Bombyx mori: one gene and its partners. The protein of the gene in region 2 interacts with the protein of the main gene of each other region in a biochemical or structural test. Links are inferred from orthologs where the notes say so. Each region holds a gene or a part of one and is shown on either strand. Other genes may lie near its edges. The genes, in order: general transcription factor IIF subunit 2, general transcription factor IIE subunit 1, general transcription and DNA repair factor IIH helicase subunit XPB, transcription initiation factor IIB, general transcription factor IIF subunit 1, transcription initiation factor TFIID subunit 6 and Cdk7.

Evidence for each region.
Region 1: the proteins of general transcription factor IIE subunit 1 (region 2) and general transcription factor IIF subunit 2 form a complex in vitro, tested with the Homo sapiens proteins (2 studies listed by BioGRID). The link is inferred for Bombyx mori from reciprocal best matches to the Homo sapiens genes GTF2E1 and GTF2F2.
Region 3: the proteins of general transcription factor IIE subunit 1 (region 2) and general transcription and DNA repair factor IIH helicase subunit XPB form a complex in vitro, tested with the Homo sapiens proteins (2 studies listed by BioGRID). The link is inferred for Bombyx mori from reciprocal best matches to the Homo sapiens genes GTF2E1 and ERCC3.
Region 4: the proteins of general transcription factor IIE subunit 1 (region 2) and transcription initiation factor IIB form a complex in vitro, tested with the Homo sapiens proteins (2 studies listed by BioGRID). The link is inferred for Bombyx mori from reciprocal best matches to the Homo sapiens genes GTF2E1 and GTF2B.
Region 5: the proteins of general transcription factor IIE subunit 1 (region 2) and general transcription factor IIF subunit 1 form a complex in vitro, tested with the Homo sapiens proteins (3 studies listed by BioGRID). The link is inferred for Bombyx mori from reciprocal best matches to the Homo sapiens genes GTF2E1 and GTF2F1.
Region 6: the proteins of general transcription factor IIE subunit 1 (region 2) and transcription initiation factor TFIID subunit 6 form a complex in vitro, tested with the Homo sapiens proteins (2 studies listed by BioGRID). The link is inferred for Bombyx mori from reciprocal best matches to the Homo sapiens genes GTF2E1 and TAF6.
Region 7: of the proteins of general transcription factor IIE subunit 1 (region 2) and Cdk7, one has a biochemical effect on the other in vitro, tested with the Homo sapiens proteins (3 studies listed by BioGRID, with this or other methods). The link is inferred for Bombyx mori from reciprocal best matches to the Homo sapiens genes GTF2E1 and CDK7.

The regions. Positions count from the first base shown.
Region 1 is NC_085110.1:12,712,123-12,716,524, reverse strand, and holds the start of general transcription factor IIF subunit 2, read left to right. Parts: upstream 1-1,509; 5' UTR 1,510-1,701; coding exon 1,702-1,978; intron 1,979-2,109; coding exon 2,110-2,321; intron 2,322-3,713; coding exon 3,714-3,839; intron 3,840-4,392; coding exon 4,393-4,402. UniProt on the Homo sapiens protein: TFIIF is a general transcription initiation factor that binds to RNA polymerase II and helps to recruit it to the initiation complex in collaboration with TFIIB.
Region 2 is NC_085128.1:9,617,700-9,622,053, reverse strand, and holds the start of general transcription factor IIE subunit 1, read right to left. Parts: upstream 3,046-4,354; 5' UTR 2,649-3,045; coding exon of another isoform or gene 2,603-2,648; 5' UTR 2,585-2,602; exon of another isoform or gene 2,489-2,584; intron 34-2,488; coding exon of another isoform or gene 1-33. Other genes in the region: rab-like protein 3, read left to right, coding at 2,603-2,648, 3,866-4,075.
Region 3 is NC_085117.1:11,798,180-11,801,679, reverse strand, and holds part of general transcription and DNA repair factor IIH helicase subunit XPB, read left to right. Parts: coding exon 1-152; intron 153-669; coding exon 670-818; intron 819-1,869; coding exon 1,870-2,021; intron 2,022-2,646; coding exon 2,647-2,813; intron 2,814-3,295; coding exon 3,296-3,466; intron 3,467-3,500. UniProt on the Homo sapiens protein: ATP-dependent 3'-5' DNA helicase/translocase. Binds dsDNA rather than ssDNA, unzipping it in a translocase rather than classical helicase activity. Component of the general transcription and DNA repair factor IIH (TFIIH) core complex.
Region 4 is NC_085110.1:3,773,178-3,777,751, forward strand, and holds the start of transcription initiation factor IIB, read right to left. Parts: upstream 2,911-4,574; 5' UTR 2,835-2,910; coding exon 2,752-2,834; intron 2,553-2,751; coding exon 2,442-2,552; intron 2,092-2,441; coding exon 1,791-2,091; intron 1,069-1,790; coding exon 712-1,068; intron 413-711; coding exon 251-412; 3' UTR 1-250. UniProt on the Homo sapiens protein: General transcription factor that plays a role in transcription initiation by RNA polymerase II (Pol II). Involved in the pre-initiation complex (PIC) formation and Pol II recruitment at promoter DNA.
Region 5 is NC_085121.1:15,714,877-15,719,353, forward strand, and holds the start of general transcription factor IIF subunit 1, read right to left. Parts: upstream 3,024-4,477; 5' UTR 2,764-3,023; coding exon 2,740-2,763; intron 2,465-2,739; coding exon 2,286-2,464; intron 1,877-2,285; coding exon 1,742-1,876; intron 1,378-1,741; coding exon 1,276-1,377; intron 1,078-1,275; coding exon 1,009-1,077; intron 195-1,008; coding exon 79-194; intron 1-78. Other genes in the region: kelch domain-containing protein 4, read left to right, coding at 3,742-3,852, 4,208-4,381. UniProt on the Homo sapiens protein: TFIIF is a general transcription initiation factor that binds to RNA polymerase II and helps to recruit it to the initiation complex in collaboration with TFIIB. It promotes transcription elongation.
Region 6 is NC_085121.1:11,006,781-11,010,620, reverse strand, and holds part of transcription initiation factor TFIID subunit 6, read left to right. Parts: intron 1-447; coding exon 448-617; intron 618-692; coding exon 693-843; intron 844-2,011; coding exon 2,012-2,184; intron 2,185-3,840. UniProt on the Homo sapiens protein: The TFIID basal transcription factor complex plays a major role in the initiation of RNA polymerase II (Pol II)-dependent transcription.
Region 7 is NC_085127.1:9,219,187-9,223,026, reverse strand, and holds part of Cdk7 (cyclin dependent kinase 7), read right to left. Parts: intron 3,287-3,840; exon of another isoform or gene 2,910-3,286; intron 1,462-2,909; 5' UTR 1,394-1,461; coding exon 1,340-1,393; intron 1,224-1,339; coding exon 1,055-1,223; intron 526-1,054; coding exon 391-525; intron 1-390. UniProt on the Homo sapiens protein: Serine/threonine kinase involved in cell cycle control and in RNA polymerase II-mediated RNA transcription. Cyclin-dependent kinases (CDKs) are activated by the binding to a cyclin and mediate the progression through the cell cycle.

The DNA of each region.
Region 1 (4,402 bases), on a different chromosome or scaffold from region 2:
CTTTATGACCAATTTTAAGGTAGTTGTTGATGTATATAATTCTATATCAGTATCAAAATGATTGAGTCTTGGGGGCATCTTTGTTATCCAATTTAAAACTATGCAACTAGCATTCCAGTTTATGCAAAAAATGCAAAAATAGGTGTAATCCCTATTTACCCGGAAATTGCGGTTAATTGGGACGAAATGAGAAATTTGCTAGGGTTGGCACTACTTGGTTTTAATTTATTTGTTTTATTTACTTATGATTAATTTATATTTACTTGGGAAATGATCCACGACAGATTTGTCCTGTAAGTTGTGAGACAATTAAAAAAAACATCTATTTTATCACTTAAAATTAGTTCAGCGCAATCGGACAACTCCGAATGAACATTGACGGAGACCACGCTACCGTGGACATTATTGTAGTCCCAAAGGATTCTGTATATGGGAGAGTAAGCACCTAAATTCGAACGAGTGAGCTTTCTTATAAACGGTTTATATTTCTTCGGTCTTGGTAAGTACTTAGGGGCTGATATTTTTATCTGGGTTAAGAGATTAGTTATGTCGGTTATTCCATGGATTAATCAGATGAATACCCCCACTCTGAACAAATATTAAATATTTTATAATGTATTACTTAGACATTTTTGTCCACCTCGAGATTTCATTGTTCTTGTTACATGTCTGTGCAAAATCGACTTACTTATATTAAATTGCTTGGCTATTTCAAGTAAAGACTTATTCCCAATTTCATAGGCTTCTATTGCTGTTTTTAATATTAAGGGATCATATCTCTTATAAGGCTTTGCACTCTTTGATACGTAAACGCGAGGCATATCTAAAAATAGAAAACAATACGTAACTGATAATATATTTACCAAACAATAAAATAACACATTGATAATTTTAAATAAAAGTTCTAGACAAAGACATCATGAATAAACCAGATTTTTACCAACAAATTTAAAAAATATTGTTATAACTACATAGACAACCCTACAAACCTGTACCTATTTATACTTAGGTGGTTTCCATTTCACGTATTCTCATCCCAATTGACCCCTTTTTCGTTGTTATTTGTACCTAAGACGTCCCTAATATCCCCCAAAACAACAGATTTTTACATGTATTTTTATTTTATCAAATACATTAAAACCAATAACAACTGAGACTTACCTTTAATATATATGATGGTTCAAACACTAAATAACGTTTATAAATCACAGTCGTCTTCTATTATTATCAAATAAATAAAAGAGAGCAAAGTTTCTAGCACTAAAATAATTTCCAACACAGGAAGTTAATTTGAAACGCGATTTTTTATAAGTTAGCAGCTATTATCATGCATATTCAGAGTTTTTTTGTGAACTTTCAACATTCTACTATTAAACTACAAAAAATGGAAGATTTTGCAACGAATATAAAACTAATATTGTGCGTCGCAAGATTTTCCCGGTTTTTTCCCGATTCGCCTCTCAATCCCTAATCGCCCCATTTTACGGTATTTATTATATTAATCTGTGGTTAAGCTGTCACCATAGATTATACACTTAATATTTTCGAGAGCTGTCACTTATGTAGGTCTTTTGTGGAAGTGCAAGTAAATTTTCTAAGATTTAGTTATAGTTAAAGGAAATCTTTACGACTTTAGTACTTTTAAAGGCCGTTAAAATAGTGTCCGCTATCGACTGCTAATAGATTTTATATTCCACAACAATGACCGAATTGGACTTATCAAATACTGGTAGAGGAGTATGGTTGGTAAAAGTACCTAAATATATAGCAAACAAATGGGAAAAAGCTCCTGGAAACATTGAGGTAGGAAAACTAAAGATCTCCAGAGTACCAGGAACGAGAGCTAAAGTGCAGTTATCCTTGTCAGAAGCAGTGCTATGTTTAAAGGACCCTGGTGAACAAAGCATACCAAAAGAACATAAGCTTGATGTTTCAAACGTTAATACTCAATCTCTAGGTGTATTTTCGCATATTGCCCGTAAGTAGTCTCATAATTATCTATATTTAACGCCTCCTAACATGTCCTGGTGAACTCAATGATAAAATTAATTTCATGTCTAAAGTTCGATATTATATTAATCGTGTTTATTCATAATATAACCATTTTAGCGACAAATACGGACTCTGTAGTACCAGAGACAGAAAACCTTTACATGGAGGGTAGGATTGTACAGAAATTGGAATGCAGACCAAATGATGATGTGACATACTATAAGCTTAAATCTGAATCAATAAAGAAAGCATCCATGCCTCAGCGACAAGTGCAACAGCTTGACAGGATTGTTCAGAACTTCAAACCAGTATCTGACCATCCACATAATGTATGTTTACTGTTGAAATCTAAAGGATTGATTTACTGTATTTTTCAGCAACTGATCATTAAAACATGCCCCTGACTGCATTGGAAGTCAAACTAGAGATGATTAAAAAGTTTTAAATAGAGCATGTGTAGAGCTCTGAGATCTCCAGATGCAGTTCAATACTCTTTGGATATGTTGTTGAATGAAATGCTTCATATAAATTCTACTAGAAGTATTAAAATACAGGTTGCAGCAATGTCTGCTCCCATTGTATAGCAAAGTTATCATTTAGACAAACTCGAAAATAAAAACATGATTGATCAATATAAAAAATTATAAATTGTGTAGTTATTGATAGCTACTTATCTGATAACAGTCCTCCATAGGTTAGGAATTAATGGGACATAAGTAGTGATTGATATAATTGGAATGGTGGAACGGTAAATAGGGAATGTTTAGTAGCTTGGGATGGCCAAGACTGTAAAATTTGCATCTTGAGCTGGTATAAAATACAATAGGTACTTCCACCTTTTATCTGAAGATGGGTGGGCATTCATATATGTGTGGTATTGGTACAGATAGTAGGGTGTGTGTAGATATTGCTCCTGCTTATGTTTACAGCAAATCATTGTGTGCTTAGTGTGAGTTTTTAACTTCTTGATCAAACGGCCGTCTGGTGTAGTGGTAAGTGACATGGTCACTACACAAGGAGGTCGCGGGTTCGAATCCCGCCAAGGTAAGATATTTGTATGATAAATGTAAATGTCTTTCCAGGGTTATGGGTGTACATTAAATATATGTATGTGTATAATAAAATATTATATTTATTTCCGTTATCTGGTACTTGTAACACAAGTTCTTTACGAACTTAGCACGGGACCAGTTAACGTGGCGTGATTGTTAGTAAATATTTATATTTATATTTATTTATATTTAAAAAATAACTCAAATTTGTATGAAGTTGGAATAGCGCCCCTGCGTTTGCTTCTTGGGGTGCTGTTCCAACTCTGATCGAGAAGTTAAAAAGTTCACACTAAGCACATTGGTTTGAAGGAAAACCTCATACAATAGAATTGAGATTTCGACTTCTCAAGGTTTTTGGTGCTATTCATGTTATGATGACTAGTGAGGTAACCACTTTACACTGGGTGGACCACGGGGTTCTTCACTCATCTATATAGTAAATTAAATTATAAACATCAGTAAATAAAAACAAATGGCTCTGTATATTTTTACTTTCTATGAGCTCTTAAACCAACCAGAAAACTTTTCACAAGTGACACAATGAATAACAACAGGTTTTAAAATTTCTTAAGTTGTTTTACTTTTTGTATTCTATTAAGTTTATTTCATTTCATTATGTTAATCATGCTTTTTTTAATTTTGTATATTAAAATTTCGTAAAATATTTAGATTGACTACCAAGAAAGGAAGAAGGCTGAAGGGAAAAAGGCTCGTGATGATAAAGAAGCAGTGCTCAATATGCTGTTTGCAGCATTTGAGAAACATCAGTATTACAATATTAAGGATCTTCAAAAGGTAATAAATACTATTCTGATGATTTTATATTTGTCTAAACATAAAATTATTAACACATTATTAAGCAAAAAATTTAATCATTGTCTTAATAAAAAAAATAAAGGCCAAAAGAAACTGTTTCACTGTATATATTATATTCTAATTTTGATAATACTGTTCATACTTTGAAACTGAGAATAGTAGTGACTTTGAATTTAAAATTAGATGTTCATAAAAAAAAACACATCTAATTGCATTTTTTTTTATTGCTTTGATGAATGGACGAGCTCACAGCCCACCTGATGTTAAGTGGTTACTGGAGCCCATAGACATCTACAACGTAAATGCGCCACCCACCTCGAGATATAAGTTCTAAGGTCTCAGTATAGTTACAACGCCTACCCCACCCTTCGAACCGAAACGCATTACTGCTTCACGGCGGAAATAGGCGGGGTGGTGGTACCTACCCGTGTGGACTCCCAAGAGGTCCTAGTGAATTATGTAATTATTTTTTCATTAAATCATTATAATAATAGACATAACGATTTAAGTATATTATTTATTGTAATTTCAGATCACCAGAC
Region 2 (4,354 bases):
CAGCAAAATTAACAGCTCGATGAACAGGTCCATTATGATTATTGTTAGATGGTTTTAGACTTCTCCGTAACATCTTACAGTGATCTTAACCACAACATTGTCAAAAGACAAAAGTTATACAATGGCGGACAGTGTATAAAGTTATGTCTGTATCGTATCGATTTTATGATTGTAAATTTTCGTAAGCTCTGACTTCCTAGTCCAACCAATGTTCGCGTTCGCTCGACTTCAAGCAAAATTTTGACATATACTACTTGAACTTTGAATAGACACCTATTCAGTGATAGTGGTATACATTTATAGGTTAATCTGTTTAATTTAGTTATATATTTATGTTTTTCTATTGAAATAAATTGTTGGTCACAAGACATAAAATCATTATTGTATTAAAATTTGAAGTCTTCGTGGCGTAAAGAACTAAGACGCCCGGTGCATTCCGGTGATATGCGTACCTACTTGAAAAATATTCACGAATTACTTTCACGGTGACGGAATAAGAACATCTAATAAAAATCAAATACGCAAAAATTAGAAGTTACTTATTTACAGATAGAAGGGCGTCTTGTGAACCCACACGGGTAGGACCTACTCTGCCTATATCCGTCGTGAAGCCGTCTCATGTCGCGTAAATTAAAATACGGTATGATTTAAAATTGTACCGAAAATGAACCTTTACTTCTACTTATTTTATTCGACGAGTGAATAAAAAAAAACTAAAATGAACACGCTGATTTCAGAGTAAAGTGACGTTGTCTAAAAAAATTTAATTGATAATTAATTAGATATGTATGTTTTATAAACCGTTTTTCATAAACCCAATGAGATTTAATAAAAACAGGCTTACTTAGCAGTTCATAACTTCAGGTTAGTAGTAACTCGACTCTATCAAAGGAGACTGAAACGATTACATACATTTTTGGGCCCGAATGTAACGTGATGAAACTAATATGAATTAATAGATTCAGATTTATCAGTACCTTGCTGAAAATTATAAAAGTTTTCTCAATCTGAGAGCCGAGTTAATAAAGATTTAGTAAAAGTTAGGTTATGTTACAATCTCTTTAAAAGAGCTGAATAATAACTTATTTAAGCAAGGTTATGTTACAATCTCTTTAAAAGAGCTGAATAATAACTTATTTAAGCAAGGTTATGTTACAATCTCTTTAAAAGAGCTGAATAATAACTTATTTAAGCATAAGTAAATGTTTATTATATCCATTGGATAATCATTTAAATGTCATAATAAGAGTGAATATCAATGATATATATTAGGTATGGAATATGGAATTGCTATCCCACAATTCACACAGCGATCCATAATTTCTACAGTATCCAATGCAACAATTTCAAGTCAAACGTGTGAGCGATCTTCGGTGTCCAGTGTAGAAGCAATTGTCGTACAAGGCTGGCAGAGTTGGAATCCGTAATAATAAAGCAGTGATCGTTGAAAATATAAAAACAGCCCGATAGATACACACTCAAAATGCGTCGAAAATACAAAACGAGTAAAGCAGAAAAAACCAACAAGCGCCAAAAAATAATTGTATAATCTATGAACAAACGTCATGTCAGCTTACTGTCAAAGCTGTCATCAAAAATACAATCGATTTTAATCGATTTGAAATCGATAATCATATTACTTTGTTAAGTAATAATAGACTTTTTCTTCATTTATGTATATAATCGCAATTAAATCCGGCGTATACCGTACTTGTATACAACAAGTATAAATCGTTCATTTAATTACTTTGCTTTAACTACCTAGTGCAATGTTTTTCTTTTTATAATCCTGTAATCGATTAATTAAATCGATCACACCGTTATACCGACAAAAACTAACTTTCTCATTTTTCTCCGGTCCCAGAAAGAGGATTGAGGTGATTTTTTATATTCTTATATAAAAAAATATGACAAATTTTTTAGACTACATTCCAAGTTATTACATTTTTGGCCCACGATTTTCCGTCTCCTTTATCTCTATTCTATTGTCTCTCATAAATATACAACTTCGGACACAGTACAGATGCGGTCGACATAAATATTAGTATTAATACTAAGTATGTACTGATAATGGAATGACAAATAGACTAGTAGTAGTAGTGACTTATTTTAATTGAAAACTAATGATTTTCAACTTTTTGTCGGCTTTCTTTAGTGTCAGACATTGTTACTAATTATTGATTTTACATTTCATTGGGACTTTTAATTTGGACTTTTTTACTTTCGAAAGTTTGGTTTTAAATATTTTCTTGTATGTCTTAAATTCGCGTTTCTTTTTGCGGTAAGTTGTGGATGTTGTAGCGCGCGGTGCATTGTCTATTTTCAGTATATACGCTTAATTTAAACGCAAGTTCGGAGCAGAATTAAACGTATAAAACGTAACGTTACCTTTTACCTTTTTTTTGTAAGTTCGCCCCAATTGAAATATTCCTAATCGAATGATGTAGTAAGTCGAATAATTCGATTGGAAATTCATAATCGCGTATCGTTAGTTGGTAGTACTGAAGGTATGAAGATGGTGGATTAGACATAGACAATACTGACATTGTGAATTTGTCAAACATTTTTATTTGCAAACACTTACCGACAATTTCTTCAATGAATGGCTGCGATTGAGAAAGTGAAGGTTGTGGTCCTCGGTGATTCAGGTATGCTTATTTCTTCTAATTTCGTTGTCGTCCATTTATTATAGCACATACAAGTAGGCACATAGAATTTCACAAAATAACAATACGTTTATTATAACGCTCCGCCATGACACCTTAATGATAGCCAACATTACAAAAATAGGTGCGAACGTAGTGGTCACATTCGATAATATCGATATTTGTTTACAATAATGAGAAAGTTGACTTATTGTTTTTAAATTTATCTGAAGTTTTAAAAATTAAAATTTAGTTTATCTCGTGATTATCCATAGTCGAAAACGTATTATAACATTATTATAAATTAATTCATTAATATACTTTCTTAAATAATAGTAGGCAGAAAAACTTTTATTACATTTGAATAGACATCTACGTAATATTGACGTTAGACTTTATAAAGAGGGTGTGCTAGAGCTAGTTGGCGCTCTGTTTCCACTTCCCACACCCCATTTTATATGCTTGTACTATATCTAGAATAGACATCGGGACTTAAATCGTTCACGTTAGTGAACTCGTTCACTAAATCTCGTTCCGTAGAGTGAACTTTGTGCTTAGTGCGAGTTTAACGTTCTCGATAGCGTAAAAATTAACCCGATTTTGTATGCAATTGGAATAGCGCCCCTAACGTAGGCAAACGATCCCATCCCATACAAATATTAGCTAACTTTTACGCTATCGAGAACGTTAAAAAACTCGCACTAAGCACACTGGTTACTTAAAATCGTTCCGTACTTCCTTTACGGGGAATCTATTCTGTATAGTCGTACTGCACATGGTTACAACTCCGGAATCGAAACCTTTTCAATCACAGCAGAAGCGATTTCATTAAAATTGCGATTTCTTCATACTTCAGGCAGACTTAAGACTGATAATAATAATGTGATAACTAAACAACACAAACTAAAATTAATTGAAATGTCTAGTTACCTAGTAGGTATACCGACTCGCAAAATGTAAGAGAAAGTACCTATTCTGAAAATAATGAAAATATGTGAATGAGTTCATTAAAATTTGATTCATCGGAACGAATCGCTCGCGAGCTACACAAATTTAATTTAGTATCTTTAGATTACATAATTACTATATTTTATAACGAACTTAGATTTTATTTTTGTCAGAATTTCCGTAATGAGTTTTGCCATCAGATCCATTATTGTAATCTAATTAGATCGATATATTTTTTATGGTTTCGAAATAATAAAGCATTTAAATTGTAGGTGTGGGCAAAACATCTTTAACACATTTGATAGCACACAATAAGCCCATTTTATCGCCGGGATGGACGGTCGGTTGCTCTGTGGAAGTTAAATTACACAAATACAAAGAAGGAACACAAGCCCAAAACACGTTCTTCGTAGAACTTTGGGATGTCGGAGGCTCAAATGGACATAGAAACACAAGAGATGTGTTTTACCAACCAACGCATGGTTTGTTATATTAGAAAAATATGTTTTAATTTGATTTTTTATGGATGAACGAGTTCACTGTCCATCTGGTACCACCAATAACGACTACAAATCACGTCGACATATACCTAGTCGTTTGTCAACGTTCAGACCAAAACACATGATTGCTTGGTGATAAAAAAGGGCTCCTAACCCTGTGGGTTCATACGCGACCTATCCACAGTAATAATTCAAATTTATAAAATGCATAATACACGATGCAGTTCCCATATCAAAGTTGTTTATGAATACTTGTTAAGT
Region 3 (3,500 bases), on a different chromosome or scaffold from region 2:
TACGCGGCAGTTTCGGTGGGCCTACAGACCAATGACATTATTGAGTACCTGCAGAGACTGAGCAAGTGTGCTGTACCGGCCGGCATCGTAGAGTTCATTAAACTATGTACCCTCTCTTATGGTAAAGTGAAGCTGGTGTTAAAACATAACAGGTCAGTTCTGCTTCATTGCTTGTCATCCATCTAAAATAAAATTAAGCTAGGTAAGGCTAATCATTTTATTTTTCGATCACGATTTTTAGTAGCTTCTCAGATGAGCTGGTGAAAAACATGTTCGTACCGGTATAAGGACTTCAATGCTCCCTGTGCTGTGTAGCATATGTATTATGGGGACGACTCTGAGGAATTTTTTGCCTAGGAGTGTGCCACCGAATTTACTAATATTCATTGCATAAATAGCGACCACCCTCCTGATGCTAATAGCAAAATATGCCTTCACAAAGTTCATTAAAAGCTGTTTATTCAGAGCCAGAAAGAAGAGTATTTAAACAGTTAGAGTTTTTTTATTATTTATTACCCTTATAGGCAGACGAGCATACGGCCCACCTGATGGTGAGTGGTTACCGTCGCTCATGGACTTCAGCAATGCCAGGGGCAGAGCCAAGCCGCTGCCTACCGTATATAAAAACGTAGTACAAGAATACTGTTTGTAATAATATAAAGTTTGCAGGTATCTAGTCGAGAGTAAGCACGTGGAGGTACTGCAGAAGCTATTGAAAGATCCAGTGATTCAACAGTGCAGGCTGCGACGCGACGGCGACGAGGATCTGCTGTCCAACGACCTGCCCGCCAAGCCAGCCACGTCCCTCGCCAAACCAGGTGACGTATGCCTCAGCAAGACGCGGCGTCGAAGCGTAATACTTAGAGTTGGTTTCCTGTAAGCGGTCGCGGTTTTAACATCGAACGAATGGTACCTAGTGATCGCCTTTGACTATTTTGCAAACAAAGGGTTTATCTAAATTGGAAACAATTAACATAGAGCAACAAAACTTCCATCAAGTGATATGTCCCAATATTTTTGATTAGTATAGATATACATAAACACGAAATGTTTATAAAACATTCTTTTAGGTTTTGTTAGATTTAACAAAAAAATAACAATTCAGATACTCTCTTAACTTATAGAGTGACGCCGGAGGTTGTTTTCAAGTCATAATAACTAAAATGTTATGTGTGATTTGAATAAACAGGACTAGTCATATAGTGGAAAAATAGCATAGTGTGCATTACAGTGGAAAGTCGTCGTGGCCTAAAGGATAAGACGTCCAGTGCATTCGTACCTAGCGATGCAACGGTGTTCGAATCCCGCAGGCGGGTACCAATTTTTCTAATGAAATACGTACTTAACAAATGTTCACGATTGACTTCCACGGCAAAGGAATAACATCTTGTAGTAAAAATTAAACCCGCAAAATTATAATTTTCGTAATTAATGGTGGTAAAATAAATAAAAAATTGTTACGTTACAAATATTTGCTTTTTTTATTGCTTAGGTGGGTGGACGAGCCCAGAGTTCATAGACATCTACAATATAAATACCGTCACCCACCTTGAGATATGAGTAAGGTCTCAGTATAGTTACAGCCGCCCCACTCTTGAAACCGAAACGCATTACTGCTTCACGACGGAAATAGGCAGGGTGATAGTACCTACCCGTGCGGACTCACAATACGTCCTACCACCAATTACTTATTTGCCTATTTACATATTACTGATTGTGTTGCCGAATTTTAAAACGATGACGTACCATTTGTAAGAAGCAATTTGTGTATGTTTCTGTAGTGACCTATAAAACTTATCCTTAAAATAATCTCGTAACTGTCTGTCCATCTGCGTCTTAAGTTTACTTGACTGCTTCTCAAACGATCAGGTGAAGAAAAACCACCGGCGGCGAACGGCGCTGTGCCCGACGACATCAGTCAGTTCTATCAGCAACTAGATAAGGATGACGACGAGGAGGAGACCTCTGGTGTTACTGCCAACGCAGCTGTTGCCTTTGAAGTGGATCCTGACAAAATCGAAGTGAGTGTGCCAATGAATATTAATCCTATTGAAAATTTTAGCAACCCATACATTTTTTTTATTGCTTATATGGGTGGACGGGCTCACAGCCCACCTGGTGTTAAGTGGTTACTGGAGCCCATAGACATCTACAACGTTAATGCGCCACCCACCTTGAGATATAAGTTCTAAGGTCTCAAGTATAGTTACAACGGCTGCCCCACCCTTCAAACCGAAACGCATTACTGCTTCACGGCAGAAATAGGCAGGGTGGTGGTACCTACCCGCGCGGACTCACAAGAGGTCCTACCGTAGCATCGGTCACCACTTTCGTCGAACCCGTCGCTTGCGACGAAGGGCTCGGCGAGTAAACTTACCCACCGACCCAGCCCACTGAGTTTCTCAGTAGGTCGCGTTTCCGATCCGGTGGTAGATTCTGCGAAGCACGGCTCTTGCTAGGGCTAATGTTAGCAACGTCGTCAGGTTTAAGCCCCGTGAGCTCACCTACTTGTTAAGGCTACGCTGAAATGGTCTCTCAAGACCATCAAGCTTAGATAGGGAAAAAATAATAAAAAAAGGTATTTAAAACATACTGTGTGTTCAAAAAAAAAAAAAAAAATTGTTTTATAAACCATTTTGTTTTAAGGTAATACAAAAACGTTGTATCGAGTTGGAGCATCCATTGCTGGCTGAGTACGACTTCCGGAACGACTCCATCAATCCGGACATCAACATTGATCTTAAACCAACTGCCGTTTTGCGACCTTATCAAGAGAAGAGCTTGAGGAAAATGTTCGGCAACGGCAGGGCGAGGTGAATAGCCATTGCTTTGTTTGGTTCTGACAAAATTAGTCTATTCAGTCACAGGAATACAGCAAGGCAGTGATTTTTGACACGATGACATCATGCATTGCACGCTGACTAACATAGGCAATTGATGGAATCGAAGCTCGGGGTCGGGTGAGAAACGCATTACTGCTTCACGGCTGAAATAGGCGGGTGGTGGTACCCACCCGCCCGGACTCAAGAGGTCCTACCACCAATTACTTATTTGCCTGTTTACATATTACTGATTGTGTTGCCGAATTTTAAAACGATAATTTTTATAACACGATGTTATTCCTTCACCGTGGAAGTCAATCGTGAACTTTTGTGAAGTACTTATTTCATTAGAAAAATTGGTATCCGCCTGCGGGATTCGAACACCGGTGCATCGCTCGACACGAATGCACCGGACGTCTTATCCTTTAGGCCACGACGACTCAGTAATGCACGGCACTTCCTGTATGTACCAGGTCAGGCGTGATAGTGTTGCCGTGCGGCGCCGGCAAGTCGCTGGTGGGCGTGACGGCGGTGTGCACGGTGCGCAAGCGCGCCCTCGTGCTCTGCAACTCCGGCGTCTCCGTGGAACAGTGGAAGCAACAGTTCAAGTGCTGGTCCACGGCGGACGACAGCATGATCTGCAGGTCACTGACCCCATTATTTTAACCGACTTAAGGC
Region 4 (4,574 bases), on a different chromosome or scaffold from region 2:
AGGTAGACAAGGATGAGTATGACATATTATTATTCATATTATGACAGTATCATTAGTGATCTAACTGATCAGTATAAAATATGTGAATAACATACTTATTTAAGGGGGCATATCTTTATGAGAATTCTTCTCAAGAAGAGTCATCCAGTTAGGACATATTAACAAACTATAACATTAAGAAAACTTACAAGATTTTTCAGACTGCTCACATACATTTTAAAGCAATTCTAATAGTACAAAAACATGTAGTCTACATCTGTGGTAGGAATTCAATAGGAGTTGCGAATTTGAAATCTTCAGGGAACAGTCTTGCTGCGGATGGATACATCAATTTGTAAGACTGTCGGATCGTAACGTCCGCAACACCAGCAATATCGCCGATCTCTTTCTGACTGCGTTTGTCTTCTGATGCCTGAAATAGTAATAAAATGTATATAATATCTATATAAACATGTGGTCACGAGTGACTTCCACAATAAAGGGGATGTACAATGCTTGATAAAAATCAAATACACAAAATTGTGTCAATTTGCATATTTACAGTAGGAATCCTGCCCATTTATGACATGAAGCAATCATGTTTTCAATATTGAGGATATTAAAATGTCAATTACAAATTGAATTAAATATTTCATTATTGTCATTAATTCCTTAAGCCTACAATGATGAAGAATAGGTTATAGTAGAATAGTAATAAATTTATTAATATACCTGTGAAGCCATATAAATGGCAGCTGCAGCAACTGAAATAGGACTTCTTCCAGACACTATGTCCAGCTCTCCAGCTTTCCTTGCGATATGTGTAGCTGCGCGTTGCACTGAATTTGGCAGACCCAAATTCGAGCAAAACCGAGACATAAAATCTGCTGTTGTAATGAGATCAACTGAAGTCTCCAGTGCTTTCAGAATCAATTTGAAACACCTTCCTATTTCTTTTTTACTTATCTTGCTGACGGCACAGATCTCTTTAAATGTACGTGGCACACCTTCTTGACGACAAGCAATGTAGAGGCAAGCTGAAGCTATAGCATCATTGGCACGACCCTTCAAGTTTTTACCGTCGTGAACCTGCAATATGATGGAATGCAATGCAATGAAAAATCTAATTTTTAAAATTCAACCTAGTAGGAATTTTACCTAAGAAAATTAAATTCTACTTTTATTAGAGGTTTTTTTTTTGTTATCCTTTCAAATTTTAGTGTGACTATTGAATTGTCTTGAACATTTCTGCTTCCAAATAGGTATTGTATTGAAAAATAAAAAAAAACCTTTAGAATTTGAGGTGCTATTCATTTGAATTCACCAGCTTAAAAGAGAGAACACATACAAAAGTGCTTAATCTCAAATGAGATGTGAAACATTTTCATATTTATGTATTATAATACTCTATGTATGTATGTATTAAAATATAGATATTGTTATGTAATCCTAGGTTTGTCTAATAAACATACTTAGTTTATACATAGTAAATATAGTATAACAATCAATGCACATACTTTCTTTTCTGCATCAACCAACAGAGAACGACTTAAATGTTAACTTAGCCAATATACATTAATATGCAAGAATCAGTACATAACATAAATAAATAATAAAAATAATAAAATAAACGATCAATTCATAAAAAATAACAAGTTTTTCTGTTGGCAATCTCAATATGATGCCATATCGACAGAATGCTGAATCTCTTGGTTGATTTAGGATAGCTATGGGAAAGATGGGATAATACTATTTTATGGCACAAAAGAGTAACATATTTAGATGTTTGGATACTAGAGTACTAAATTTACCTGTTTAAAAAGATTGTTTGCTCTGTCCACAATAGTTTTTGGAAGATTAATTCTATCCGCCATTGTGTTGATTTCTCGGAATGCATTGATTAAGGCTCTATCTGTGCTGCTTATGTTTCTTCTATTTTGATATTTGGAAACTCCAAAGCTGTCAAATGATGCATCTCCTCGTCCTGGCCCAATGATAGTTGACAAATCACCTCCAGATAAAAGTGGGTTTTCAGGACCACCAACACGAGACGGATCTACTCCAGACTTCTCATTGCTAAAAGTACGCCACTCCGAACCGACGTCTATGACTCTGCAAGGTAAGAATTTTTTTACTAAGAATGTAGCAATTTAGAATGTTTCTTTTGTCATTTTTATGTATCAACTCCAAAATTTTTCAAAGCACGAAAAATGCGTTTTGTGTATTAAATATTCTGTTCACTGTTACTTCAGAAAGTTCACTTAGCCTCCGTGAACTTCATAATATTCTTAAAGAATTCCCGTAACATTAATGTGAATGATATTCACAGTACAAATTGATTATATACCGACCTCGAAATATAGAAATCAAATGCGTCGCTATTGAAGTTGTTGTTACGACATGACAGTAGAATAGCGCGCGCGTTCCAACGTTTTGTTTCGCAAATAAAGGTACTAACTTACCTGTCTCCGACCACCAAACCGCATTCAGAACATATCATATCACCCGCTCTGTAATCCTCGATAAGGGGCGCATCAGGGTGAGCATAGCAAACCACTTTATTCGCCTCAATTCTAAAAACACAAACAAAAGTAGGTTCACAATCTAACAAGTAGAAATCGTATGCTATTTTAACGCGATTTTAAACACCACTTAAGTACTATCACCAACTTACTCATCACGAATATCTATCGTATTGCTTATCGGCTTTGTATAAATGAACTAAGTCTCGGTTTAAAGCTAATATAAATAAAATAACACAGAAAAACAGACCTCGATGTACTCGCCATGGTGGTCAGAAAACATAGACAATACTCCAAATATTTTTTTAATGTCGTTGTCAATTTGAATACCATAAACACAGTTTTGTTTTATTCTTTGATCTTGACAGGCATGTGACATAGTAAAGGGTATTAAATCATGCACAAAAATGAGTAAACATTATTAAAGTGAAGCAGCGCTTGTGTCTAGTTTTTCCCCAAGTATCGTACTTTATTAGTGAATTACTTTGATAATAATGTGGTTGTTCTAAATTTAATGTAGGAAATTATTAGTTTAACTGCTAGTAGTGCTGCCATGCCAACTTGGTTTCTCAAATGCAAGGGATATTCAACAGTATGAAATAGTAGATTACGCATGATCAAAGACAGGTCCATGATATTATATAGTTCTGTAATTAATATGATCAGTCTCGCGTGGAGCAAGGCTCCATGGGCCGGAGTTCTCAAGTATCAAATTATTTCATGTGGGACCCCATATGAAATAATTTCTTCTAAGAAAGCTGTTTGGACTATCGTTTCCCCTAATATCACAAATATTTTAAAATACTTTCGGGCTTACACAGAAACTTCATTTCTGTCTAGGTGTTATAAATCGCGATAGCGATAGCGCGGAGCGCTCTTAGATATAATTTTTTTAATTACATCTTATTAAATTTCTATCTTCTTTAGAAATAATTATGCAAATACGAAGTAATTTAAATTCCCTATCTCGGTTTTTTAACTACCTGACTTCTTATCTTTTTTTCAGTATGGCAATCAATCATTATCCTCTTGCGATCCCAATGATGGGATCCCCCTTATGAACCCAGCGTCGAGCTTATGTCAATGTATAATAATCATAAATGATTAATAAATACATACATACATGCACAAAGTAATTTTTATATTAAAATTTAAATTTTGGTACCTAAATAAAAAATGAAATGGGGCGGAATGAAATGAATTTGAATTCTCTGGAATTGTATCATCAGCCTGGATAAAACTGAATAAAATTAAATGAAATGAATCGATATAAAATGAAAAATAAAAAGGTTCCAGTAAAAGGAATTTACTGAGACTTATGTGAACTTTTTGAAAAAACTCGAGGAACTATGTTTGGCTATTTTAATTCATTTCTCAACATTTATGCACTTTTCCAAATGTATACATAATTTTATAACAATACACTCATTAAACAATACCGGAAATACCGGTGCTCACACAACAATCAGAAAAGCCTCCGGTTTTCACGGCATGGCCGATAGATGTCGCTATATTACTCTCCACCGGAATCAGAGTTTTCATTACCTATAAACTTTGCATTTTTTATGGCTTTTGCAGACGGACGAGCATAAGGCCACCTGGTGGTCAGTTATTGACGTCGCTCATGGACATCAGCAATGTCAGAACCACAACCAAGTCGATGCTTACCGGTAAGTACTCTCCATAAGGCTAGTTTGAAGAATGAAGTCATGGGGCTCGTGAAGCACGGTGAAGGAGAGTTCATTTCGCAGTCAGAAGATACGTGCCAAAAAAGATCTCTGGACATGCACCGCCGATGAGCGTACTTGTGCCCGATCCAATAATATTGTAATACTATCTTATTTACCAGATACCAAATTACACTAATAATTGGCAGCACAAACGAGTAGGATGGTCCCGTGCATGCTTTCATTATAAATACTTTACCCCTAATTAGGGATGGGTAGGAATAAATTGCAAAAGTGAAGGCAACATTTTTTATCCATAAATATTATTTTGCTTGTCCTGACTGACTGATTCATGTGCACTTAAGCCGCTGTGGTTGCAAACTTAAAAAATTGACACAATTTTGTA
Region 5 (4,477 bases), on a different chromosome or scaffold from region 2:
CTTTATTTTACCATAAGACCTACCATCACCAGCTTCAGCTGACCCCACCTCTGGCTTTGAATACCGGAAACTGAGTACCTTTTTTAGCTTTCCCTTTAGCTTTCTTTTCGTCTGGGTCCTCTTCGTCTGCATCGTCGACTCCGCGGAGCCGTTTCCGTAACATCAACGAGAAGAAATTCATAACCTTGTTACGCCTAGTGCAGAAAAAAATCGATCATCGACTTCAATGAAACATATTTTGAAATGTCACTAGAAACAGCAATGGATTCGGTCCAACCATCTTTCTCATATACTATATACGGGGCGACGGAGACCAAAAAGCAATAAATTTTCAAATAATTCAAACAATAAAGTTATTGTAATCATTCTCGTATATCTTTAATGTACAAAAAATAAACTTTTTTTTTCAAATTATTAGTTTTATAACAATAGTCTGTTGCCCTGAAACAGAGATGTAATAAAGTGTTTTGTCTTTTTTCTATTTAGATAAAGCATAAGTACTCAATTCTTCAAATATGCAGACAACAATAAAAAAATATATTTTAATTTTAAGTTCAACTATCTATTATGATCTGGTTTTTTTTTTCCTATATTATATTTATCGTTACATGCAGTGCGAAAAACAATCATTTAAGCTCTAGATCATTATCGTCAAAGGATTTAGGATAATTACAAAGCACCTTCATTTTCGGGAATGACAGTCTGTATAAAATATGAGTAAATGATTTACAAGTAATTTTACTGGTGGTAGGACCTCTTGTGAGTCCGCGCGGGTGGGTACCACCACCCTGACTATTTCTGCCGTGAAGCAGTAATGCGTTTCGGTTTGAAGGGTGGGGCAGCCATTGTAACTATACTTGAGACCTTAGAACTTATATCTCAAGGTCGGTGGTTACGTTGTGGATGTCTATGGGCTCCAGTAACCAATTAACACCAGGTGGGCTGTGAGCTCGTCCACCCATCTAAGCAAATAAAAAAAAATAAAAAAAATGTCATGGACCATCTTACCTGCCAAATTCCTGTTCGGCTTCTTCAGCTGACAGCGCTTTGTATCTCTGAATCGGTTGGAAATTGTACCTGTTAGAATTCAGTTTTTAGTTTCTTAAGAATTAACTACCTTCATTTTTCTACTATATTTGAGCAATTAAAAAAGAACATTAATAACACAAAATAATAATAAAGGAACAGAGATTCACACACAGCATTCAGATTATTTTTAAATAAAATAGAAGCATTTCTTTCATGTTTTGTAAATATTGCATGAACATTCCGTACCATTCCTGGAGTGGATAGGCGTCTATTGCGCCATCCGCTGCGTGAGTGAACACATAATATGCAGCATTCTCTGATACTCCACCTTCACGAATACCTTTGAATCTAAAAATATGATAATACATGATATGAAAATTACCAGTTACATATTAATTAGTATTATATAGAGCAAGCAAATAGGCATAACCACACGTTAGTCTATAACACAAGACTTTTCATTTAATTATATGCAGTTTTTCATCCTGTTTTCAATCATTGACTTTTAATGAAAAAGGAAGAAGTTCTGATTTAATTTTATTTATTTTATTTTTATCTTCGAACTTTTTCTAGGTTAAACGATTCTGATAAATCTTTTGTTGTGTAAAAATTGTTCCAACTCATGTGAAATTAAATTATTTCTTGTGCATTTGTTGTAAAGGAACCACCAAACAATATCAGAAGAGGTTATTGTTATTTGTTAATTACTAACTTCTTGCCGGTCTTTCCACCGACTTTCAGGATCCACGGCTGGTCTTCCGGTTTGTACTTTCTTGATATTATACCGAATTTCTTGCGACGTGCTTCCTCACGCATGTCCCGTCCGTATTCCGAGCCTGCACCAAATCTGGATTTGTGTGACGAGTATTACCAAAAATATTACGTAATAGTAGTAGTATTTTAATTCCCAAGTATTCAATAATCTTGGAGCTGTTAAGATCACTTTTTATAAAGGGTGTTCATGGCAAATCTATTTTTTAAAGCATTGAGTAAATAACCTTAATTTAAGGTGTGTCAGTCTTTAGTGTCAACAATGTTAACCAACCGGTTTCCAGTTTTTGACTATTCTTTGTATTATTATCTGCTAGCATGCAAATTTTTTGAGTTACAGAATTAACTTAATATTAAATAATTATGCCATAAAATTATGACATACTTTTCACATTTATTTTTAATGATGTAGAAAATTAATTTATGATTATTAAGTCAATCTATTTGATATCACCATCAAAGAGTTGAATTTTCTTAATACTAACTTGGGCATTTCCTCTTCAGCTCCTTTGAATTCTTTGCTGTTGTTCTCTCGCTCCATCTTGACATGAGTCCATTTTGCAAAATCTACATTCAATGTGGCATTGAACCTCATAACATGATACTTCTTCTTTACATTCTTTGGCACTCTTATTTTATACTCCTGTACTGTGGCGGCCGGTGTCTGAGAAATTAATTTATTATATCTGTGAAATCGTAACTATTGTTTAAATGATTACGATACCATTCTATGTATGATTTGGTAAAATTTATCAAATTTGGTTATATTATCCTTTTATGTACCTACTTACTTCAGTAAGAACACATATTCTTGCATATTAATTTAATATTATTTTGAACCTCACAATTTGTTGATTGTTTTAAGTTCTTAAACGAAAAAGGTGAAATATCGTATCACGATATTTCACCTTTTTCGTTTAAGAACGAATAATATCTTACCGTACTACTTCCAGGTGTAGACATTTTTTACACTTATATCTATAATATCAAGATTAATGACGGTATATAAATTTATCAAATGACAATAGTCCTCGATATCATGATCTCACTAACGTACACGTTAAATTTCTTCAAATCAAATAATTTATTACGTTACAGTTTACTCTTTGATTAAAAATATTGTAATCAATTAAAACAATGCTAATCGCAAACTGTGCTGGCAAAATGAAAATTCTGTCAAATTAATGTCAAAAGTCAAAATTTCATCAAGCACAGAGCACATTTCAGTCTGTCAATGAATTTATGATCATAAGTATCAAGTCATATATGACTAAATAATATTATCATTTAACTATGCTCATGACTTCTATTATTTTAATAAACATGCAATAGTCATTAGGATTTAAAACATTTTTTTCATACGTGACGAAAAAGCAATCTTATCAAATGTTTACAGCAGCTTAGCATATTGTCGTCCAGCATTAGAAATTACCCACAAGGTTAGTCACCTCCTCTTTGCGTCGATAATCCACAACAATGAGGGTCATGGCGTCCCATAATAATTTCGCTTGGACTATCCTGCGCCAACATTGCCTATCCTTGACTTTCCGGAGGGCATCGTGGACTGAGGTGTTGAGAGTAGAGGCAGCTAGTGCAATCATAGCATTGGACTTCTGCTTCTGAACCTTCTTCCGCATACTTTGCCTGTTACCAGCAATTATTCTAAATTGTCATCTTCTTTCTGACAATGTGTCCAAAGAACTCAAAATTTGAACGGAATCTTGAACTCAGTAAGAATGTATTTGTAGGATCAAATGTTCTATCAAGCCCTTCCATCCTAAAAGTTATAATCATAAAACAGATATGGCTTTGATTATTTTGGCTGTATTCCCATTGCCAATGAAAAAAGAAAAAAAAAACTGTTTACAATAATAATCACAATACTTAAAAATCTGTTTCATAAAATATTTAGAAATTTAAGTTAATTTATTTTTCATTAAAATGGGTAAAAAGAAAAATAAGAATAAAGTTAGTGGCGCTGTTAAAACCGCAGCAAAAACTGAAAAAAAGCTAGCTAGCAAATTAAAAAAAGAACTCGCAAATCTTGGTGAGGTTAGACCATGCCTTTTCGCACTATTTATTAGAAACTCTCAAAAAGTTACCTGAAATTACGCCCTAATGGATCTAATATAGTAGTATAAACTTAAATGTTATTGAAACTAACTTACTAAAATTATTTAAATGGGTAAATTTTGTAAAAGTCATGAAAAACATAAAATTAAATAATTCGAAATAATTTATATTTTTATGATTTAATCTAGCTTTAATTATTTGGAGATAATATAATAACAAAAACTACTTCTATGATATGACGTAAATGATAATAAAAGTCATTTTGTCACTAAACTAAAGCTGAAGAAAGAGCAAGTAAAATTTTAATAGAAGTTTTGTATTATGTATATTTCAGGAAGATATAGCTAAAGTGATAGCTGAGATAGAACGGGAGGAAGCTAAACGATATGCTGCATCAGAGAAGGTCCTCGAAAAGCCACCATCCTCCAGAGCGTACGCAACGCTCACCCCACATCCAATCAATAATGAGCTTGTGCTGTTTGGTGGAGAATACCACAACGGACAAAAGGTATCAATTTCATTTTTAGAGATATTACAATATTAGGTAAAGTATCATGATGGATAAAGAAAATACATAAATTGGTGTATCTGTAATTTTATAGTC
Region 6 (3,840 bases), on a different chromosome or scaffold from region 2:
AACCGAACATAATACAAGATTACAACAATACACCGAATTACAAAGATAAATGTCACGAATACACCGAATTACAAAGATAAAATTAAATGTGTCGCGTATTAAACGAAATGTCGCTTAAACGACGAATAAAACGATACTGCTTAATAAAAATAAGGCGGTGCATGCCCACTAATACGTCTTGACACTCGTTTCGCAGTTGCACATCATAAAATTGGAGGTTTAGATTTTATGATCATAGAGGAGACCAATATTATTCCTGCACTGTAGGATTCATTCGTAAACACGTCTTAGATGCGTATTTTCTAGACAAAATGTTATCTGTCCAATCTAGACCATGGCATAAGAGTCCATAGGCCATTCTCTCTACGGCCACGCTTCAATATTTGATACTCATACATGTCTATAGGTAATTGCAGATTTAATAAGTAAATTGTATTGTTTGGGCAGTTACACGAGTTGATTCCGTCCGTGTCGACATGCATAGTATCACGACAGCTGTGCCTTCGTCCCGAGATGGATAACCACTGGGCCCTGCGAGATTTCGCCGCGCGACTCATGGCTCAGATATGCAAAACATTCAATACTTCAACCAATAATCTACAAACGAGAGTCACCAGGTATTTTAATTTGAATAAATTTTAAAGTCACACAATGTATCTGGTAGTTACTATACGAAAATTCTTTGCGCTCAGGTTGTTCGCGAAAGCCCTCCAGTGCCCTTCACAAACAAACAACGAAACGGGTCCTTCTATGGCGAGCATGAAGGAATCGGAGAAGACTCCTCTCGCGTCGCTGTATGGAGCCGTGCAAGGATTGGCAGAGCTGGGCCCCGAAGTCGTTAAAGTGAGTAATCTGTGTGCTTAGTGCGAGTTTTTTAACGTTTTCGATAGCGTGAAAGTTAGCCCAATTTTGTATGCAGTTGGAACAGCGCCCCTAGTGGCAAACGTATGCAAAAGATCCCATTCTGTACGAATATAAGCTAACTTTTACGCCATCGAGAACGTTAAAAAACTCGCACTAAGCACACTGACGCCGTCACGCAGCGCCCTCTACATAGGCGCGTTAAACATTGTCGTGCGTGAATTAACTTATGCACGCCGGGTTTTTAGTTGAATTTGATGGCTGTGTACCGGCGGCCCAGACACGTAGGCGCAGTGTTGGATTTACACTAGGGGCAGTCGGGGCAAGTGCCCAGGCCGGCATATTTTTTAGGGCGGCAAAATTTTTAGTTTTTTTTTTTTAGTTTTATCAAGATTGCTCAATATAATTAATTAATTCTAATAATTAATAATTTCCTTTTTAATTGATAATTCAAGAAATTCAATTCATCCATTATTTGTCAATTATAATTTTGGCACTTTTGGTAAAAATTAATAATCAAAATGGTTTAATCAATTTATTTCCTTGGAGATTTAAAATAATAATCGATTTTTCTATTTTCTATAATTAAAGAAATATAATTAGTTATTTTTTTTGATGAAATATAATTATGAGTCACCCTTAGTCAAAATTTGTAATTGTTAGAAAAAAATATATATATTTATTTATGTTTTTGAAATATATGACATATGATAAAGTTTCCGCAATAAATTAGTCATCCTAATTTTGAAAAATAAAATATATAAATTATAAATTTAGGTAAAATTACAGTATTGGCACGGTTTTTTTTTATTGTTTAGATGGGTGGACGAGTTCACAGCCCACCTGGTGTTAAGTGGTTACTGGAGCCCATAAACATCTACAACGTACATGCGCCCCCCACCTTGAGATATAAGTTCTAAGATCTCAGTATAGTTACAACGGCTGCCCCACCCTTCAAACCGAAACGCATGACTGCTTCACGGCAGAATAGACAGGGCGGTGGTACCTACCCGCGCGGACTCACAAGAGGTCCTACCAGCAGATTTTTTTCCGGTACCGAGGAGCAGTATTATGTTTCAATCCGACCCTGCGTAGGCGTGATAATCTGGCGATTCATGTTAGATCTGGTAAGATGACGCCTTTTTTACAGGTGTTCATTCTGCCGCGCGTGCGTTGGTTGGGAGAGCGCGTGGAGGGCGCGCTGAGCGGTATCGGTGGCGCGGACCGACTGGCGGCCGGCAACCTCAAGCACCAGCTGCTGAAAGTCCTGGCCCCTGTCGTCCGACAACTGCGGCAACCGCCCGACCAACCCGAAGACTACAAGTCAGTCACGTCTTATACACGAATCGTCCTGTTGATTTCCTATTGAACTTTTTATTACTCATGTCCGGTCAGTGATTGTCGATATTCGCGCATATTTATTGACACCTAAAAATTTAGATTAATTTTATATACCTAGGTACAGTACCAGGCAATAAATATTGCACATCGATATTTAGAAAGAGACTGTCGTCTAATTTTGTTATTATTGTAGAGCGTTATCTGTGTGCGATGAAACACCAACGATCCCGTATCTATGGAGATTAAATGTCAATTAGGTAATGTGCGACACATATAACGCTCTACAAAGCAAAAATTAACCATCTCTTTCCCACGGTCGATGTGCAATATTTATCGCCGGGTACTGTATAACATTTTCTTTATTTCTTATTGACGTTTAGAAAATAAACAATGTCAAAAAAAATGTCTAAAGATCTTCAATAGCTAATGAACAAAAAGAATATCAATGATCAAACACAGAAGAAATTTTTTTTCTTCTATAAATTGGCAATATTTTTATATAGATTACCGTAGCATTATTTTTTCGCTACATGGGCCGTTTTCCAATTACAGCACAAGAGCGCATTATGCGGCATAATGCTCAACTAAGCTTCAGCATAATTCGGCATTGTGCGTCACTGAGTCGCATTATGCTCTGTAATTGGAAAACTACCATTAAGTAATGGTTAATTGCCGAATTATGCTGAAGCATAGTTGAGCATTATGCCGCATAATGCGCTCTTTTGCTGTAATTAGAAAACGGCCATGGTTTCTGCTATCCGTCTGAGCATAGGTACCAGTTGATACAGGTATGTTATCAGACCATCAGCTAACCACTTTCCACTACATTTACCTTTAGTCAGTATGCTGAATGGTGTTTATTTTGTAACTCAATCACATTGTGGACCTCGAAAAATGAACTAGAAATGTATCATACACTGTTCTTGATGAAGAATTACTATCGCAACCTTTCGGTTTTGATTTTACTTGTGATGATTCCATATAATGTCATTATAAGAATTGAATATATATTATCATGGGTGGGCCCGGCAATTGTCTTGTCCTGATAATAATAATAAAGCCTTAACGGGTCCAATTGTAATTGGAAATTGTCCAGGGACCCCCTTTTGCGATGCAAAAATAATCATAAGAATCGGGCCAGCAGAATCCCGGCATACATACCCTCTTATTCCAAAAATAACATAGATTGCGATTGGAATGCTACCCTATGTAATGTTTTTTTTTCATGAAAGCCACATTTAAAATTACGTTAATTTTTAGTCCAAAAATAGCCAAGTGAAATGATTAAATATCTATGAACATTTTTTTATATCAGATTTACATAGATAAATTACATACAAAGACATACATTATATTATAGATATATCAGATCTAAATCAGATTCAAGTATACTGTTTTATTCAAGTTCGCAAATAAACAAGTTTTTATTTAAAAGCTTTAAAAATACTTCTATAATATTTTAGTGATTTTTACTTCTGTCCATGTCATACTTAAAACTCCTATTAAAGTCGTTAATCGTATATTTATTTTAACTAGAGGTCCCGCAGTAGTCGAAATTCGACTATAATTAATTGGAATTGTAATTTGTAAGTTTGTACACTATTATGATTGTATTTTATACTTCTATAATCACAAATT
Region 7 (3,840 bases), on a different chromosome or scaffold from region 2:
AATATTAATAAATATTTAAAGTAGTACCTTTAAAATTCAATACAAAACACATACAAGTTTCCTAGACCCAATAAATTAACAAAAAAAATTAATTTGCCAATGCTGTGTTTGACACTACAAAAAAGTGACATGCAGAGTCATCTTACATAGGTACTAGAAGATTCAAACAGATGCAAGAATTTATGTCCCAATGTTAAACAACTTATTATAAAGTAACAAACACTTATAAAATAAAACAAAATCTTAACTGACAATGAATTTAAACTTAGAACTTTTTCACAAAACATTTGTAAATTACAAATATGAAATTTAAAATAGGGTAAGCTGGCTTTAAGCTTGGCCTACAGTAAATTTGTAGGTTTTAAAAAATACATTTGTATGTAAACTTACCTTTCAAAGTCATTATCATGTATGCCTTAACATTAGCTGGGGTAAGTACAATAGTATTGTCCTTTATTATTATTTCTAAGTCTGTATCCATAAAGTCAAACACCAGCGACACATTTGATTTCTGTCCGAATACATCTGCAAAGCCAATAATTGTAGGTTAAGAATTTTTAAGATATTAAAGTAAATAGTAATTTTATAATAGTTTTATTTTGAGTTTGTCATCTCAATGTGTATACTACTGTCCACTTTAAGTGTTCTAAATCTCAATCGTATTACTTCTGTCCTACCATTCAAAGAAGAACACATAATGGCCGAAATAGACAACAGTTGAACATATGAGGCCTGATGAATGACCATTTAATGATGGTCGTATTCTGGTTGAATACTTAGAGAATGCAGCTCCTCTTTTTCTGGTGATTAGTCACCTATTACAACACCCAAAGCTCACTTCTAGGGTGGTATTATTCTGAACTAATAGTTCACGACTGTAGGTTAGGAAATTGTATCTTCCTCGCTGCTTGATTTTGACTATTTGAATAAAATGGGTGTAAATAAATGATGTTTACTTTCTAAGCTACATCCTGTCATCTTTACAATTAATCAGATTAAAATTGAAGAAGATAAGCTATCTACGATCTCATACAATCCTTCCTACAATACATACCCAATAATCCAATTAGATTTATATGCTGCAGTTCCTGTAACAGTTTAATTTCTCTAAGAGCAGTTCTATTAATTCCGTCTTGAGCTTCGAGACGTGATCCTATCTTAATTTTCTTCACAGCAACAATTTTGTCTGTTTTTGCATCCTTTGCTTTGTACACAGTTGCAAACTGAAATTTGTGGTGGATTGTATTAGTTTAGTAGTTTTATTTTGAGGTTATAAATGACCTAGTATGTATTAATAGTCTTTATCATTGCTACCTACTAAACTCCTTATTTTATTTACCTGTCCTTCGCCCAAAAAGTCAATTTTTTCATATCGTAAAGTTGGTTCTTCCATGATCAAATAATTATTAATTCCACGTTCATACAATTTTAAAAGCAAAATTATTCATTGTTTACCACACCCTGTGAAGTAGAAATAGTTTAAATTATAATATTGATAGGATATTGTATGAAGCATTCGGAAATTTATTATTATTTCTTCTAAAGAACTGCACAGGTACTGTCAAGAATGAGTGGTTTGATTTGAATATTTTGAATTTTTTAATTGTCATAACTTTTTTTTATTTAAGGCCTGGATTGTAGTCTTTAAAGTCAATGCTGTTTTCTCTCGTTGTTTTTCAATATGGCAATCGGCTTCTTATGATAGCCTTGCTACCAGCGTCAACCTTATTATTGGCTGTCTCAAGGTTTCATACTGCAGTGTTGGCTCTTCAATTATTAGTAATGAATTACTTTTTAGTATTTTTTTCAAATTTCGTGAGAAGAAGACATAATTAAAGATACAGATGAACCTGACTAATACTATAAACGAAAATACACATATAAACGAATATACACGAAAACTATAAAAAATAGGAAACGCCGAAAATAATATTATTAAATTAAAAAAGGGTGCGTGTACTTATGTACGCGCGTAAGAAGTTATACTTTATTTTTATAAAATTTATTTCTTTTTTTTTATTATTTAAATTTTAAACAATTTGAAAAAAAAACGATTAAACAACATCCTCAAACACGCTTATTGGACATCCCTTTTCTTGACATGGTATAAATTCGGTAATTCTCGGTACGGTTCGGAAAGTTCACCTGCGACTATATTCAGACTCACCAAGTTACGTCGGTCGTATTGTAATGAGCGATTTAGTGGGCAACTTCATTCTGTTAATTTTGTGTCACGGTGCGCGCGCATCGTAAAATATAACTCTCATCAATTCTTCATAACGCGCCTAAAGAAGTATAACTTCAAAAACACGCTTAAATAGCAAACCGAATTAATAATCATATTCAGCATTTTTTATCCTGTTGATGCTGGTCAAGATATTAAAGCGAAGATAAAAAATCTTGTATTGTAATCGGTCCTCAATGCGTGTACAAATTTTCATGTTAGGCCGATGTCTCGAAGATGATGAAAATTAATTAGATTAAAGATTCCGTTACATACGAACAAATAACCGTTACCAAGCTAACAAAAGAGTAGAGAAGTTGATTTGTCTGAAATTTGCTAACAACTGCTCGAGCGCACCCATTAGGACTCAGCTAAGACCATAAGAGTAGCTGTTTTTCGGGTGAATCTACCACTGAATTGGCATCGCAACTGGCATCTTATTAGGTACTGGACCTAATAAGATCCAGCGGGAAATGCAGCAGTTCAAGGGCCACGGGCAATTTTTCGAATATAGTGAATTGCGCTTTGGCTATTGTCATCAGTAGCAATAGCTTCTTTTTTTTATTTATTACCCTTGTAGGCAGACGAGCATACGGCCCACCGGATGGTGAGTGGTTACCGTCGCCCATGGATTTCAGCAATACCAGGGGCAGAGCCAAGCCGCTACCTACCGCAAAGGGTCACATAACAATCATTCTAGTTCTTCAGACATTTCTGTATCAATTCAATAAAAATAATTCAAGTTCTTCAAACGGACATTTCTGTATCAATTTAGAAAACACACTAACTATAGACATACAAAGGTTAGACGAAAATGGCCAGCTTCAGTAAAACGGCAGTTGCAGTTAAAACTTATCAGATGCCAGCTTCGTGCAATCCACTTATGGATATATAACCAAAGCTTACTAGCAATCTACGCTAGGCGTCATTACAAATGGCGCCTTAGAAACGAATCAATACTTCATAATTATCAAAGTTAAATCCTAGTTTATTTAAGACCTCATAAGTCTTCTACTTTTTTTACTTTGTTGAGGGAGAATGGAATAGAGAATAAAAGAACTTGTAAGCTTGACTATGTATATTTTTTATTTTTTTAAAACAGATTGTATGTGAAATTACATTCCTCCTCGTAGACGTAACACTAAATGGAGTGTAGATTCCTTTTGAATATTGTAGTCTGACAAGGTGCGTCCGTCTTCCAGCTGCTTGCCAGCAAAGATGAGACGCTGTTGATCAGGAGGAATTCCTTCTTTGTCTTGGATCTTCGCCTTCACATTCTCGATTGTGTCCGAAGCTTCTACTTCCAAAGTGATGGTCTTACCGGTCAGAGTTTTCACGAAGATCTGCATGCCTCCACGAAGACGCAGTACAAGATGGAGTGTGGATTCTTTTTGAATGTTGTAGTCTGACAAGGTGCGTCCGTCTTCCAGCTGCTTGCCAGCAAAGATGAGACGCTGTTGATCAGGAGGAATTCCTTCTTTGTCTTGGATCTTCGCCTTCACATTCTCGATTGTGTCCGAAGCTTCTACTTCCAAAGTGATGGTCTTACCGGTCAGAGTTTTTACGAAGATCTGCATGCCTCCACGAAGACGCAATACAAGATGGAGTGTGGATTC